Neurospora crassa OR74A: one gene and its partners. The main gene of each other region encodes a partner of the protein of the gene in region 2 in a complex. Links are inferred from orthologs where the notes say so. Each region holds a gene or a part of one and is shown on either strand. Other genes may lie near its edges. The genes, in order: qcr8, NCU16013 and qcr7.

The links.
Region 1: the proteins of NCU16013 (region 2) and qcr8 are in contact, whole or in part, in a crystal structure (PDB 4PD4), measured with the Saccharomyces cerevisiae proteins. The link is inferred for Neurospora crassa OR74A from reciprocal best matches to the Saccharomyces cerevisiae genes COB and QCR8. Residues at the interface, in NP_009315.1 of Saccharomyces cerevisiae: Ser15, Asp19, Ser20, Pro21, Pro109, His202, Ile203, His204, Gly205, Asn215, Leu216, Arg218, Ile219, Pro220, Val320, Lys323, Phe324, Phe327, Ile328, Phe331, Asn332, Leu335, Gln338, Cys342, Glu345, Val346, Pro347, Tyr348, Met351, Ile354; in NP_012369.1 of Saccharomyces cerevisiae: Thr8, Tyr9, Met10, Gly11, Trp12, Trp13, Met16, Gly17, Gly18, Pro19, Gln21, Gln55, Tyr58, Val59, Ile61, Pro62, Ala63, Ile65, Tyr66, Trp69, Trp70, Gly73, Asn74, Tyr76, Asn77, Leu80, Tyr81, Asn93.
Region 3: the proteins of NCU16013 (region 2) and qcr7 are in contact, whole or in part, in a cryo-EM structure (PDB 6T15), measured with the Saccharomyces cerevisiae proteins. The link is inferred for Neurospora crassa OR74A from reciprocal best matches to the Saccharomyces cerevisiae genes COB and QCR7. Residues at the interface, in NP_009315.1 of Saccharomyces cerevisiae: Ser24, Ser25, Asn27, Arg107, Ser108, Pro109, Asn208, Pro209, Leu210, Ile212, Thr213, Gly214, Asn215, Leu216, Asp217, Asp309, Arg310, Ser311, Val312, Val313, Arg314, Phe318, Val320, Thr372, Glu374, Asn375, Val376, Leu377, Phe378, Tyr379; in NP_010818.1 of Saccharomyces cerevisiae: Pro2, Gln3, Phe5, Ile8, Ala9, Ile11, Gly12, Asp13, Ile15, Leu16, Cys25, Val26, Val28, Ala29, Asn30, Phe32, Ile33, Leu35, Ala36, Gly37, Tyr38, Leu41, Leu43, Phe45, Asp46, Asp47, Leu48, Ile49, Ala50, Glu51.

What each region holds. Positions count from the first base shown.
Region 1 is NC_026505.1:5,787,943-5,791,683, forward strand, and holds qcr8 (ubiquinol-cytochrome-c reductase chain VIII), read left to right. Parts: upstream 1-1,559; 5' UTR 1,560-1,659; coding exon 1,660-1,721; intron 1,722-1,857; coding exon 1,858-1,883; intron 1,884-2,133; coding exon 2,134-2,311; intron 2,312-2,433; coding exon 2,434-2,491; 3' UTR 2,492-2,798; downstream 2,799-3,741. Other genes in the region: NCU08946 (hypothetical protein), read right to left, coding at 67-573, 651-974. UniProt on the Saccharomyces cerevisiae protein: Component of the ubiquinol-cytochrome c oxidoreductase, a multisubunit transmembrane complex that is part of the mitochondrial electron transport chain which drives oxidative phosphorylation.
Region 2 is NC_026614.1:31,974-37,074, reverse strand, and holds the start of NCU16013 (cytochrome b), read right to left. Parts: upstream 3,179-5,101; coding exon 2,783-3,178; coding exon of another isoform or gene 1,832-2,782; intron 1,465-1,831; coding exon of another isoform or gene 1,462-1,464; coding exon 1,368-1,461; coding exon of another isoform or gene 424-1,367; intron 92-423; coding exon 1-91. Other genes in the region: NCU16014 (group I intron endonuclease), read right to left, coding at 1,832-3,178; NCU16015 (laglidadg endonuclease), read right to left, coding at 424-1,464, 2,786-3,178; NCU16012 (NADH dehydrogenase subunit 5), read right to left, coding at 4,787-5,101. UniProt on the Saccharomyces cerevisiae protein: Component of the ubiquinol-cytochrome c oxidoreductase, a multisubunit transmembrane complex that is part of the mitochondrial electron transport chain which drives oxidative phosphorylation.
Region 3 is NC_026505.1:5,770,763-5,775,206, forward strand, and holds qcr7 (ubiquinol-cytochrome c reductase complex protein), read right to left. Parts: upstream 2,414-4,444; 5' UTR 2,149-2,413; coding exon 2,033-2,148; intron 1,716-2,032; coding exon 1,460-1,715; 3' UTR 692-1,459; downstream 1-691. Other genes in the region: NCU08941 (calcium-binding mitochondrial carrier protein Aralar2), read left to right, coding at 3,808-4,366, 4,429-4,444. UniProt on the Saccharomyces cerevisiae protein: Component of the ubiquinol-cytochrome c oxidoreductase, a multisubunit transmembrane complex that is part of the mitochondrial electron transport chain which drives oxidative phosphorylation.

The DNA of each region.
Region 1 (3,741 bases), on a different chromosome or scaffold from region 2:
CCTAGGTATCATGGTCCCCTTTCTGCAGAACCATCTTCGTCTCTTTCCCTTACTGATTGCTCCCGTTTACGCCCTGCCAACGTTCATCAACAGATTTGTCCCCTTGCCACCTCCGGGCAGGTACGCCACGTTGGGGTTGGCAGCCAACACCTGGGCAATCTCCCTCGACGCCTCAATCTTTCTGATCTGGATCAAACCATCGCCAGCCTTGGCAATAGACTTGCTGATGGTCTCTGCACTCTCCGCTTCACCCTCGGCGCGGATGACGTTGGCCTGGCGCTCCTGCTCGGCACGCTCGACGATGAAGCGCGCACGCTCGGCATCCTGCTGCGCAATCTGCTTCTGCTCGACGGCCTTGGTGAACTCCTTGCCAAAGGTCATGTGGGTGATGGAAACATCCTCGAGCGCAATGTTGAACTCGGCGGCGCGCTTGACGAGGTCGGCGCGGATGCGCTGCGAGACGGCCTCACGCTGCGTGATGAGCTCGGCGGCGTCGAACTGGGCGACGATGGACTTGAGTACTTCGTTGCCGATGGAGGGGAGGACACGCTCGTCGTAGTCTGGGCCGAGGTTCTGTGGGGATTCCAGTCAGTTCAAGTTCGTTGTGATCCGTCGTAGCCGTCATAAGGGGCAAGTTCTTGTAAACGCACCTGGTAAATCTTGGGCAGAGCCTGCACCTCAGGACGGTGCAGCACTCTGAGCGTCAAGCTGACCATCTGCAAATCCTTGGAGCCGGTGGTGGTAGGGATGATGCGAGGCTTGGTGCGAACATCGAAGATGATGGCCTTCTGCAGCCATGGGATGAGGAAGTGTGTGCCCTCGTTGACGACCGTGTCCTTCACACCGGCAACTCTGTCGAAAATAACCGCCCGCGAACCACCTCTGACGTCGTAGATGGAGTTCTGGAGAAGAGCCACACCAACAGTTGCCGGGATGGCGAACTTGGTGATCATGTCCAACCCTCTTGCCGCCATTGTGAATATCGGTTTGAATCAAGATTAAGGGATCGAACTCGGTTGATGTGGTGGTGAGGGATCTGACTCGAGAGTATTCGTGGACGTCGTTTCCGGGGATACCTCAAGGTGGGCTGTGGGATTATCACACTACAAACACTACGGCGTGGACCGTGGCGTGGATCGTGGTGGTGGTGGTGGTGCTTCCCCAGTTGCAGCAGTAAGCAGCAGTCGTTGCGATGGATGGAGCTTCTGCAAAAAGTGGAGTGCCATGTCCCGTCGCCCGGACCAGGCCCAGCTCTCTCAAGCTCCCCGCATGGCCCGGGGATGTCTTTCAGTGCTTGCGTATGGTGATTCAATACCTATCCTAATGGTCCGTGCACCTTGTTTTGTTCAACAGACGGGCAGGTCGGAAGGAGGCTGAAAGAGAATGATGCTGTAAAGGTACTTGTAGCTTGTACCTTTCCATGCTAATCCCTTTTGAGCCTCCAGCACTCGGGTTTCTGACGGGACTGCCAGTGACGGCTCCATGGCACTTGGCAAATGAAGTGCCAGCCACTCACTGTCGACCGATTTCAGTTCGAACTTCGTCAAACCCGGTTCAACGCCGCGCGAAGCTCTTCCCGAACCTTTACGACGACTGCGTCCTCACCACGACCCGATTGATACCCCCCATAGCGCGTTTCGCGACAACACATATTTCAAGATGCGTCCTACTCAGACCATGCTCGGTGGCGGCGGCGGTGCCCCCATCGGCAAGCACAACCAGTCAGTCTTCCCACTTGTGATTTGGAAGAGCCCGGAACTTCATGGCACAAGCTACCGGCGATGCGCCCTTTTCCCTTTGCGCCGGCTCCCCCTCCGATCCAGCTCTGGATGTTAGCTAACGTGCATGTTGATATAGCTACCTTGGTGGCTGGGGTAACTTTGGTGAGTAGGAACCTTTGCAATTGACGATGCACCGATACCAAACATACGGCAATTCTTCAACAACGGGAAATACCGGGATGGGAGGGAATGCGAATATGAGGGCACGACAGATGGTCGAGCCAGAAGACGAAGAACCTTGATGACCGCCCGCCCACTCGCCCGCACGCCGAACCCTTGACGAACCGATGAGACGACCCCCGAGACAGAACAAGACCATCTAACCCATGTTGTTTTTCTTCCCGACGAACAGGTGGCATGAAGCAGAGGGGCATCATCTCCTACGGTATCAGCCCTAACCGCCAGAACCCCCTCGCCGGCACTGCCCACGACGCCGTTTTCAACACCTTCAGACGTGTCAGCTCCCAGTTCCTCTACTGGGCCCCCTCCCTTGTTGCCGGCTACTACATCATGAACTGGGCTATCGAGCGGTACGTTGCATCACCACCACCCACAGCCCCGAGGGATTTCGATCACGGGGTGGCAAAGGAGGGACCGTTGTTGTCGTCGTTCAAGAGAGTGCCACATTCTAACAGGGCATTCTGCTGGTTAGGAACCACTACCTCAACTCGAAGGCCGGTCGTGCTGAGTTCGCTGGCCAGGAGGAGTAAGCGATGGACTTTACGATACTTGGGCACGGAACCAGAGTGCAGTTCCCGAGAGAGAGAACTAGTACTCAATAGACTAACCTGTATATCACCATCTTTATTCCCACGCGGTTCGAATTGGAGTTGGCATAGACAAGACATGGACCTCTCTTATGGGTATCGGCATGTGCTGGTTTTGGATCTCATACGACACCTGAAACACCACCACCAAGTCGTTTCTTGTTTACATTCGGCTCGACAGATCGCATGTGATTTCCAGCCTTGTCACGATCCTAATCTATCCACGCATCATCCGGACATTCCCTTGGTTAGCTCCAGTTCTCTTGTCTTTGGGTACAATCATTGTGCATCTTGCCGGTCCGCAGGCCAGTCTTTTCGGCGCTTGGTGCTCGTTGGCTGCACTAGATCTTGCGAGGAGAACCATGAGGTAGCGAGCCGGTTCCTTTCATGGAGTTTGATTTTCTTTCTCGCCTCTGGAAGCATGTCAGACGCTGGAAGGCTGAAAACTGTAGCGGCGCCCGGCCTTATGACGTATCACCACGCCTGTGAAGCCGAACGTCCTAGTTCATATACCGTTCCTCTCCCGGGACAAGCTAACCAGCCCTGCTCAGCATTCTCACCTCCATGAATAGGACTGTGAATACTTCACCTTCAAACTCATCATCGTAGATGCCGATACCTATCCAAGGTAAACAATGACGGGAGGTAGGTATGTTCGAAGCCATTTTATATTCAAATTCAAAACTAAACAATGGCACTGCACTAAGCCCCAACTTCCAGACCGCATTTCCAGGGCAACATTCCAAAGTAGGCATAAGTACATGTTAGTTCTCAACTACTATTGGTATGGTGCCTAGTCATGTCATTAGCTGCAGTGCATTTTCCAGAAACGCTCGTGGAAGAAAGAGCAGATCGGTGAAGAAATCCGGCCATACATCCATCAGCCCAACCAACGCAACATTCAGGGGTAATGAATGAAAAGAAACCAAACAAATGCAGGAACGGGTGGCCCAAAAGCGCAAAACGAACCCCCCCCCCCCCCCCCTCCCCCCCCCCCTTTTTCTTTTTTTTTTCCTACAACCTCGGTTGGTATATTCTATGATTTAATGATAGTCTTTTTTTCCTTTCGCTTGAGTTGCATTGGGCTGTCAGGGTCTCGCCATTTGTTCGCTTTTGCAAAGAGATCATAGAAGTATTTTTATGACGGGGTTGATTACATGGAGCATGGGTTATGTGTTGAAGAGATGGAAAAG
Region 2 (5,101 bases):
ACTAATGCTGCTAAAATAAATGGTAAAACAAAATGTAAAGCAAAGAATCTATTTAAAGTAGCATTGTTTACACTAAAACCTCCTCAAATGACAATATATTACGTATAATATTTAACTTATACTTTACACCCTTAAGGGTATATTTAGACTATATCTTAAACCCACTCATAGAGTGGATTTTGGGGGTATCGTGTTGAGCTTATTGTTGGTATAACTCACTCATTAGTCGTTGAACGTTCTTAATCCATTTTTTATATACCGAATTAAGTTTCGCTACAAATAATCTAATAAAACGGAGGTAATTTATTAAATGTCCTTGTAATTTTCCCCATTTGCCTCTAAAATATAATAAGATTAAACCCTACCTATTTTAAGGAGCCCCATTACATTTATTAATTTATATCTTTTGCAATCTATCTTGCATTATTTTGCATCAGGATAATTTAAGGTACTATAACGCAAACTTTCTCGTAAATTATTTAACCATTTTATATATTGAATATATTTCAACCCTACTAAAGGATGTAAACCTGAAAATGAAAAGAAATTTATAACTTTTTGTATATCAGATTTAGAACTAACACCAAATTGATTAAAATTATTTGTTGTATCTATTTTTCTATTAGTATTAAACATTAGTTTAAAGGCTTCAAATAAATTAGTATGTATTCTCTGTTTTAATTGAAAACAACCATCATTATTACTTTTAATAAAAAATGAACCCTCAGAACATGTAAATCCGACTATTCAATTTTTAAAAAAAGGCAATAATGTGTAATCAATAGGATTTTTAGGTATCTCAAAAACAGCAGGTGTGTTATCGGGAATTTGATTATACATCTTAATATCATTTTTGAATATATACATAGCTAAGTTAAATTGATCTGCTCTAGTATTAGTTAAGAAAAAAATCTTATTATACATAAGCAATGGGAACAATATTTCTTGTAGATCCGTTTTATTAATTACTAATTTACAAGTTGGACTTCTTAAATCCTTATAAATATTTATCTTACCTATTTTTAAAACAGAATGAATATATTCTAAAATAGAAAGATCTTCTAAATGAAGAGATATAACTAACTTAATTGCTATGAAACCTTTAGATGTTTTAGTTACTTGAATATACCCATCACCATCAACCAATCCAGCTAAAAAAGCTAAAAATGATGAAGGAATGGATATATATTCTTGTTTATCTAATCTTAAAGCCTTATTTGATTTCTTTAAAGCGTTTTGATGAATAACACCTATCGTAGGAAGGTTAGATGAAAAATTAACATGTAGTAAGATATAATAATACACAACTACAATTGAAAATAAAATAGCAATAAAAGATAAATTAATAATTAAAGTAATAATTTTTGACTCAACAATATCTTGTCCAATTCATGGAATTGCACTTATTAAATTGGTAATAACAGTAGCACCTCATAAACTCATCTGTCCATAAGGTAAAACATACGTACTTACTTATTATATCAATAATAAGCTGGAATAACTTTTAATTCGTGTATTCCATTAATTAAATACCTTTGTTTAATTAAAAGTTCCGACTGTACATTAAGCAGCATTTCAGCCACCCATTAGTGACCCAGTCTGTAGCGATTATTTATATAACCGACGGTCTTGTCCCAGCATAAGTAGAGGGATTTTAACCGTTTTCACTAACATCGCCAAATAGTACTAAAACTATTTTACATCCCTGTCGGGATGTACCACTTTAATCTTTTTTTTTCTATAAAAATTGCAAAAAGATTTATACTCATGGGACTATGGTTTATATAAGAATAAAGTATAATAAAGAATAAAGTATAATAAGGAATAAAACCTATTTGTCAGAAAAATCTTCTACTATTCACTGTCTTTTAACTAATTTTTTTTCTGTCTGCAGTGCTCTTCTAATGGTTTTTTCATTACAGTTAATAGCATTAGCTGCTTCTAAAATAGTAGAGTACTTACCGTAAATAGTTCTATTCAAGTTATATAACACAACAGGTCTTGTATTAGCAATACATTTTATTTTAGTTTCTTCTGACATAGGAGGTCTAGTTAAAGCCTTTTCTCTTATTTTTTCTATTGTTTCAGGAGAAAACTTTTTACCCCTATTTAGACTACCTATCTTTTCTCGTCTAGCGTCACTATAAAGATCTTTCATCTTTTGACGATCTATTTCAGTATGTTTGTAACCAAAACTAGAACCTGCTTCGGTTAAAATATTATAATTAGGCACTAATAGTTTTAAATATTTATCTTCTAAATCCAATAATTCCTTGTTATTTTCTTTGGTAACAACATTAGGATATAAATCTAATATAACAAAAGCAAAATTTTTCAATTCATACTTTTTAATTGCTAATTTAACTATTTTGCTACCTGTAAAATGAATAACATGATTACAGAATCTAGTATAAAATCTATTATTGGATGCAGAACCTATATAATAATCTTTTGTTGTTTTATTAATTATCATATATACACCGCTTAAATCTCTTGTATCATGTAATATTTGTTTTCAACTGGAAGGTTGATTTAAATCTTCATAAACATATACAGGGTTTATACCTAATTCATTAATAATCGTTTGTAATCTTTCAGACATTTCAGGACTATTTAAAGAACTACTTGTACAATAACCTCTTTTTACTAGATTTTTGTTAAACAATCTCTTGTTTATTCTTCCCCCCCACCTCTGGAGGAGGGGGGGCAACGAATTTGTGATATTACCTTTATTACTTATACTACCTTTATTACTTATATCAAACCATTTTGGGCTATGTTGATAACCCAGGAAGGCAGTAGCCATCATAAGTATAAGGATTACTGTTCCGATAGCTCAAACTAATGTTCTAGGAGCTCTATAAGATCCATAATACATTCCTCTTCCTATATGTAAATAAACTAAGAAGAAGAAAGCTGAAGCTGTGTTACTGTGTAAGTAACGTACTAATCATCCATTATTCACATCACGCATAATATGTTCTATAGAGTTAAAAGCTTCTAATACGTTAGGACTATAGTGCATTGCCAATGTTACACCAGTTACAATTTGTATAATTAAACAACATGCTAATAAAGAACCGAAGTTTCATAAATAACTTATGTTACTAGGTTGTGAAGCGTCAATAAGATATGAGTTAACTAATTTTAATAAAGGATGACTTTTTAATAATCTCATGGTAAATAAATTAATAAAAAAAATGAAAGAAATAAAAAAAAAATATAAAGAATAAAGATCATTAAACCAAACTTCTTCTACACCTTATTATTATTATTATTAAAACTCTTTATAATATATTAATATATTTAATATTAGTAATTTTATAGACTAGACTAGGACGAGCCTCCTGCCTCCTGCCGAAGGCAGGAGGCAGGAGGCAGGAGTCCTGGAATATAGGATATTTAAGTACTCGATTTCCCTAAAATAGGGATTAATAATAAGCAAATAAAAACAAAAACTATTGTACTACAATGCAATCCTTTTTTATTCATTTCCGTCGATGTGTTAGAGGTCAGGAGGTTTGTCGAATTGTCTTAAGAAATCCTCCCTTTCGGGGGGATTTCACCCCGGGTCCCCCGGCCTCGAACAGTATCTAAATAACTAAAGCCGTTACGGAATTCATCTCGGAGGATTCTACTTAACCTACGCAGTCTACTGCGTAATTCAATACTCATTTCAATACATATAATAAATACTCTTATAATAGGAGTTATTAATGAAGCAAATAAAAACATTCAAAATTCTTTCTTCATTATTTACTAATAGCACACGAAATGACTACACCATTAACTATGAATTAACCGGTGGAACTAATATTTTTTCAATAATATCTATGCTGGCAGGTATTATTATTATTTTTTATTAAGAGTGAGGGAGTGGACGTGGTTTAAACGCCACTCCCTCTCTAAATATTTTATAATTTTTACTTTTTCGCCCCCCCCCCCCTGCAGTACTGCAGGGGGGAAGGGGGGATTAGGAAGCTTGTGGATAAACCTACGAACTTAAATCGGGTTGTGGGGTCCCCCGATTTACAATTAAACTCTGTTACGATTTATAATATAACCCCCCTGCCCACCCAGATGTACCACGAAATAGTTCATTTCAATAGTCATCTTTCTCATATTATAAAAAAGCTTACTTAGATTCTTAACCTCCCCCCCTCCTTTGCGGAGCAAAGGAGGGGGTTGCGAAAAGATGCCAGGGTGGAAGTAGTATAATACAACCCACCTTGTATATCCACAAGATCCGCCAAGTATTGTGTCGAATATAAAAAAGTCCTATAGGCCCCATTTAGTAGGAAATTAACAGCTGGAGGTAAAAAAGGTCTGAGAATCGGTAAGATCAGTTAAGCCCAAGACCGTGTATCATAAGCACCACGTAAAAGACGCCTGGCGTGATTAAGCACATCATCATCCACGGGAATGATGCTATTAGTAAGGGGATCTCTGATATTTAAATTTGCCGAAACAGTCTCCACCTCGGAAGCCCATCCTGTCAAGGCATCCAATACAAAAACGACTATCAGACTAATTAAATCTGGATAAACATTATCTTTATCAGGGAGAGAAGAAGGGAAAGGTGGGGGAGGAGGGGAAGGAGCAGTAGGGACTAAATCCACCAACACAGGCACCAATGCTGGTGGGATTTTGATTTGGGGTTTAACTCACTCATAGAGTTCCCAACCTAGGTAGCCTACTAGGCCCAGGCCACCCACTATTAAGCCACCTACGACCACCGTAGCCGGGCTGGAATATAGTTCTTGTAATTGTATAGTTGAGTTTGTCATTATCGTATATTTTTATTTTTGGTGCTAACTACAGCTTTCTTGATCATTTTTCCTTCCTTTGAATCAGAAGAAGATGTAGAAGATGTTAAAGAAAGTAATAAAATGAATAAAGATAAATTCAAATCCAAACCTCCTTCTAACAAACTAATAAATGTAAATACATATAAAATAAATCCAACTAAAATAAATAAAGCATAATTTGTTACAATACTTGTACTTAAAGATGCTATATCTTTACTTCATTTAATTAAGACTTTTTCTAAACCAAAAGGTCCTAATAGCTCTATACTACCTTTATCTAAAATCTTAGTAAT
Region 3 (4,444 bases), on a different chromosome or scaffold from region 2:
TCGACGTGGTCAGCTTTAGTTAACGTAGTAATGAGAGTATGTACACTGTCTGCTCTGTTGTCGGGTGGACTGGTACACATCAGATATCACACATATCACCCACCGAAAGGAGAACTAAGTTGTCACTTTCAGTTTTCGCAACACAATATGCCCGCCGCCATTTTGGTATGATGCCCATTGGAACCGAGAGAAGAAAGAAGTCTGTGTGTATCCTCAGCATGATTATGCGGGCTTACACAATTGTGCCTTCAACGTCCAGAAACGAAAGAAAAAAATACTGGAGTCTTCAACGCTGCCTGATCCCAAACATGTGTGATACTCCTTTTTTTTTTTTTTTTTTTTTTTTTTTTTTTTTTTTTTTTTTTTTTTTCTGAGTACACACGATGAACAAGATCACAACTTTTGAGTGGTGCTAACTGCCACCAAGGTTGTGAGCGGCACAAACTCGGGTCCTCGTCAGCCACCTGAAATAGAGCAGGTTTGGGCCATAAATTTCCTAGTCTCGGAGAAGAGGAATGTTTCTTCGGCGGTATCTTTGGACAAGGGCTCTCTAAAAAGTAGGCAGCCATCTGATATGACAGGCAGCTACAGTATGGCCGCCATCACTCCCGTAGGTTATTGTCTCACTTCTTCCCATGGTTGCGTACCTCTGCTACTACTTAGTTCTAGGCTCTTTGGGACACAGAGACAATGAGAGTATTTGCGAATTGAGCGGAGTTTTTTTTTTTTTTTCTTATTACTTTTTGATCTAACTTGTCATGACTCTCACATACACTTCTTCAACGTACAGCATAGCAGAGGTCGATTTCGATGGCTACCATGTCTGAGACACTTCCTTCCCTCCCCTTTCTTTTCTTTCTCTCTTTCAGTTGTCTTGTTGTTTTGGGGGGGGGGGAAGAATGCAGGATAAAGGTCTATTGCCCATTTTCTTTCCTTCTAATAAGTAGAAATGGTTAGGTAGTCTTTTCTTTCGCAGTCGTCACCATCTCCTCTCAAAGCATTTTCCCCTTCCACTTCCACTTCATAGAGATGCGCGGGTTCTGGGAGCGTGAACACAACCATAGACAAGAACATTTGGCTGTTGCCCATTGTCGTTGCATCGCAAACTGTCCATCTTCCCCCATCCACCTTTTCCCCCCCTTCATCCTATTTCTCCAGAAAGCAATTGGCAGCAAGTTGTCGAAGAGTTCCAGGTTCCAGAGAATCGAGGGGACGAGTTTTTGTTTCGGTTCTTATTTTGAGCGCATCCACTTTATTGCTTTGGTATCCTCGGCTTCCAAATCCTAAGCGTAGCGTAGCAGTACTCCAGCCTTTCCCTTCTCTTCGGTTCCTTCGTTCCCGTCGAAAAAAAAAGTCGGCCAGTCCAGTTCCCACCGCGCGCGGATAACGGAAAAACCTTCCCTCCCATCCTTTCCCATCCTTCCTTCCTTCCCCTTTCATACCTTTATAAGTCCCGCGCTTAGTTCTTGACGACAGCCAGGGTGTCGAGAGCGTCCTTCTCGGCGGCCTCGGCCTCGATCTGGTCGATCAGGGGGCGGAGGTAGGGGACGTCCTCCTCCTGGGTGGTCCACTCGTTCTTGGGCAGGAGCTTGTGGGTGAGGGAGAGCTGGGTGGCGCGGCGGATGCGGTAGATGCGGTCGTACGACTCCTTGGGGCTAAGGCGCTGGAGGGCGGCGAGGACGGTCTCGTTCTCCTCGGAGATGAGGTCGTCGGCGCTGTTTTTGGGGAGGAAGGGTGGGTTAGTTTATGGGTTGTTGGTCGGTTGTATATGGTATAGTGAGTGGTAGGTAGTTAGATAGGTAGGTGGGTGGGTGGGTGGGTGTTGGTCCTCCTGCTCGGGGATGTGGAAGGGAGGGAGGGAACTGCGGCTGGGGCGCGAGCCATTGAGGTAGAACCGGGCCGAGGAGAGACAGATGGATAGACGTAACACATAGAAGGGCGATGGTTTCGATACAGGTAGAGCCTACGTCACAAGGGTCCCGGGCCGGACTGCTGGCCATCGAGGTATATAAAAGAAACAACAAAAACTCACCGGAGACCCATCTGACGGTAGCCGGCGGCATTGATGTACCAGTTGGAGACGGGCTTGAGCATCTTGTTCAACCAGCCACGCTTAGCGACGGCCTGGACGAGAGAAGGGGCAGACATGGTGATTGATGGATGATTGTCGACCGGGGTGGCGGTTGATAGTCGGTGATAGGTAGGCGAGGTGGTGAGGAGTCTACACTCTCTTGTCGTCTGGTCTCTACGCACTTGGGAAACACCAAGGTCAAGATTCAAGATGGAGGGCGGAGAGAGCTAACAAATTGCCGCGACCCGCAAATCAGCAAACCCGCGAAAGTCAGCCAGCCATTTCAGCCAGTAGTAGAAGCGCACTGTCCAACTAGAACACTCAGAAAGAAGCTCCGGGTGCTCCGTGCGTTTTTCTTAGACTGTCTCCCGTCTCCCGTCGCTCCGGGAAAAGCCGTGTCCAAGTGGCTGATGCCTCAAAGCTCAGGCTCTACGAGAATAGGGAATTTGTTTTCTTGGCAAGGGTTTGGGTTACCATGGAGCTGTCGGTCCAAATGCCAAGGCAGAGATGAGGTCGATGTTATGGGCCGCGGTGGGTCTAGAATTGGAGACGACGACCAGGGCAGCCGCTTTTTTGGCGGGCGACGGTGGTGACCGCTGGCGCTGTTTCGCTGCAGTGAAACGGAATCTCGACTGATAGCTATCATCTCTTGTCTGGGGGAAGGTTAAAAACGGGCCATACTGGGGGTCTTTGGTCTGAAGTCTAAAACTCCCGAGACTTGAGAGACCTGGACAAACACATGATTATCTGGACACCTACTTTCTGGCCCCTAGACCAACACTTGCTTCTGGTGTCTTCATGACTCGGAGGGGAAGGAAATTCGAGGCAGCTCCCAGCGCATCCGGAATTGCTGTTCATCCACTCACTGCCTACGGGAGTCACGGGCAGGTAGGTAGGTATGGACAATCACTGCAGTAAGGTGACATAATTGGTAACCATAATTGGCATCCGCGTCCCGCCGTCATTGGCGTTGGCTGTTCGTTTCTGTAGATAACTACGTAGTTTCCTTAACAAGAACCAACCTATCTACACACCAACATCACCATCCGTCCTCGGCCTCCGTCTGGCATTCGCACACAAAAAGGTTCCTGTTGTACCTCTTGGTCGAAAAGAGTCGTGTAGCTTCTTTCCACTGCACTTTGTACTATCGTCCATCTCTTTGCCAAGAAACCCTGTCTTTGGAAAACGGGACTTCCCCCACATTCGCCCATCCTTTCCTTCATTCCACTCACCTGCATACTAGCTCCTCTACCAAAGACAGGTACGGTAGCGAGCCTGCTCGTGTGCTCGCTCACCAATTGCGAAAAATCCAACAAGTTCCCAAAATACGATCCGCGCCAGGGCCTCTTTCTCTCCTACGCAAAAACCCGGCTGCCCCGAGCCTCACGGACGAACGGTGATATTTGGTGAACTCCTGTTATCAACACCTCGGTCTTCGACTCAGTCCCCCCCAAGCGAACCTCTTTCTTCCCCGCACCCGCGCTAGTACGCCGTTCAAGCCGGGAACGTCAGCTTCCTGATCAACACCACCCTCTCAAGACTCCAAAGCTCCAACAAGCCGAGATCACCACCCTCTTTCCGACACTACGGCGGCATCACGGGTCACCGATTACTCCGGGGTCTCTGAGTTGCGACCAGCAGAGACCCCTCGAACAAAGACGCACCATCTCGTCTCGATCCCCGCGTCTCGATTGCCCAGTCCCAGTTCCGACTCGAGTCGAGAGAAGGGTAGCGGCATGTCTACTATAGACACCCAACACCACATCTCCCACTCTGGACCAGATCCCGCGAGTTCGGCAGCAGAATATGGCGTGCGCTCCTTGCCAGGCGCCCGGCCACCCGCCACTTTTGCGCCCGCCAACTCGGTGACCGAAGAGCTGGAGGAGACAGCAGCAGCAGGGCAAGACATAACAGAGGAGATAATAGACTCAGCCTCGGCCGACCCAATGCAAGAGGACCCCAACCGGATAACGGGCCTGGAAAGATGGGCAATGAATGCTTCGGACTCGCAGTTCAATGCGCTCGCCGGCGCAGTGGGAGGCTTCATGTCCGGCGTGGTCACCTGCCCGCTGGACGTTATCAAGACCAAGTTGCAAGCGCAGGGCGCGGGACAGCATGTGGGCCAGCCCAGGATGTACAATGGCCTGGTAGGCACGGCCAAGGTAATATGGAGGCATGAGGGCATTCGCGGCATGTATAGGGGCTTGGGTCCTATAATAATGGGCTACTTGCCCACCTGGGCTGTCTGGTTCACAGTCTACAACAAAAGCAAAATATGGCTACGCCAATACACGGGTATGTCTTCCTTTTGGTGTTGGTACGGAACGGGACGTTCAAGGCTAACATAGATGTGACAGACAAGCCAATTGCCAT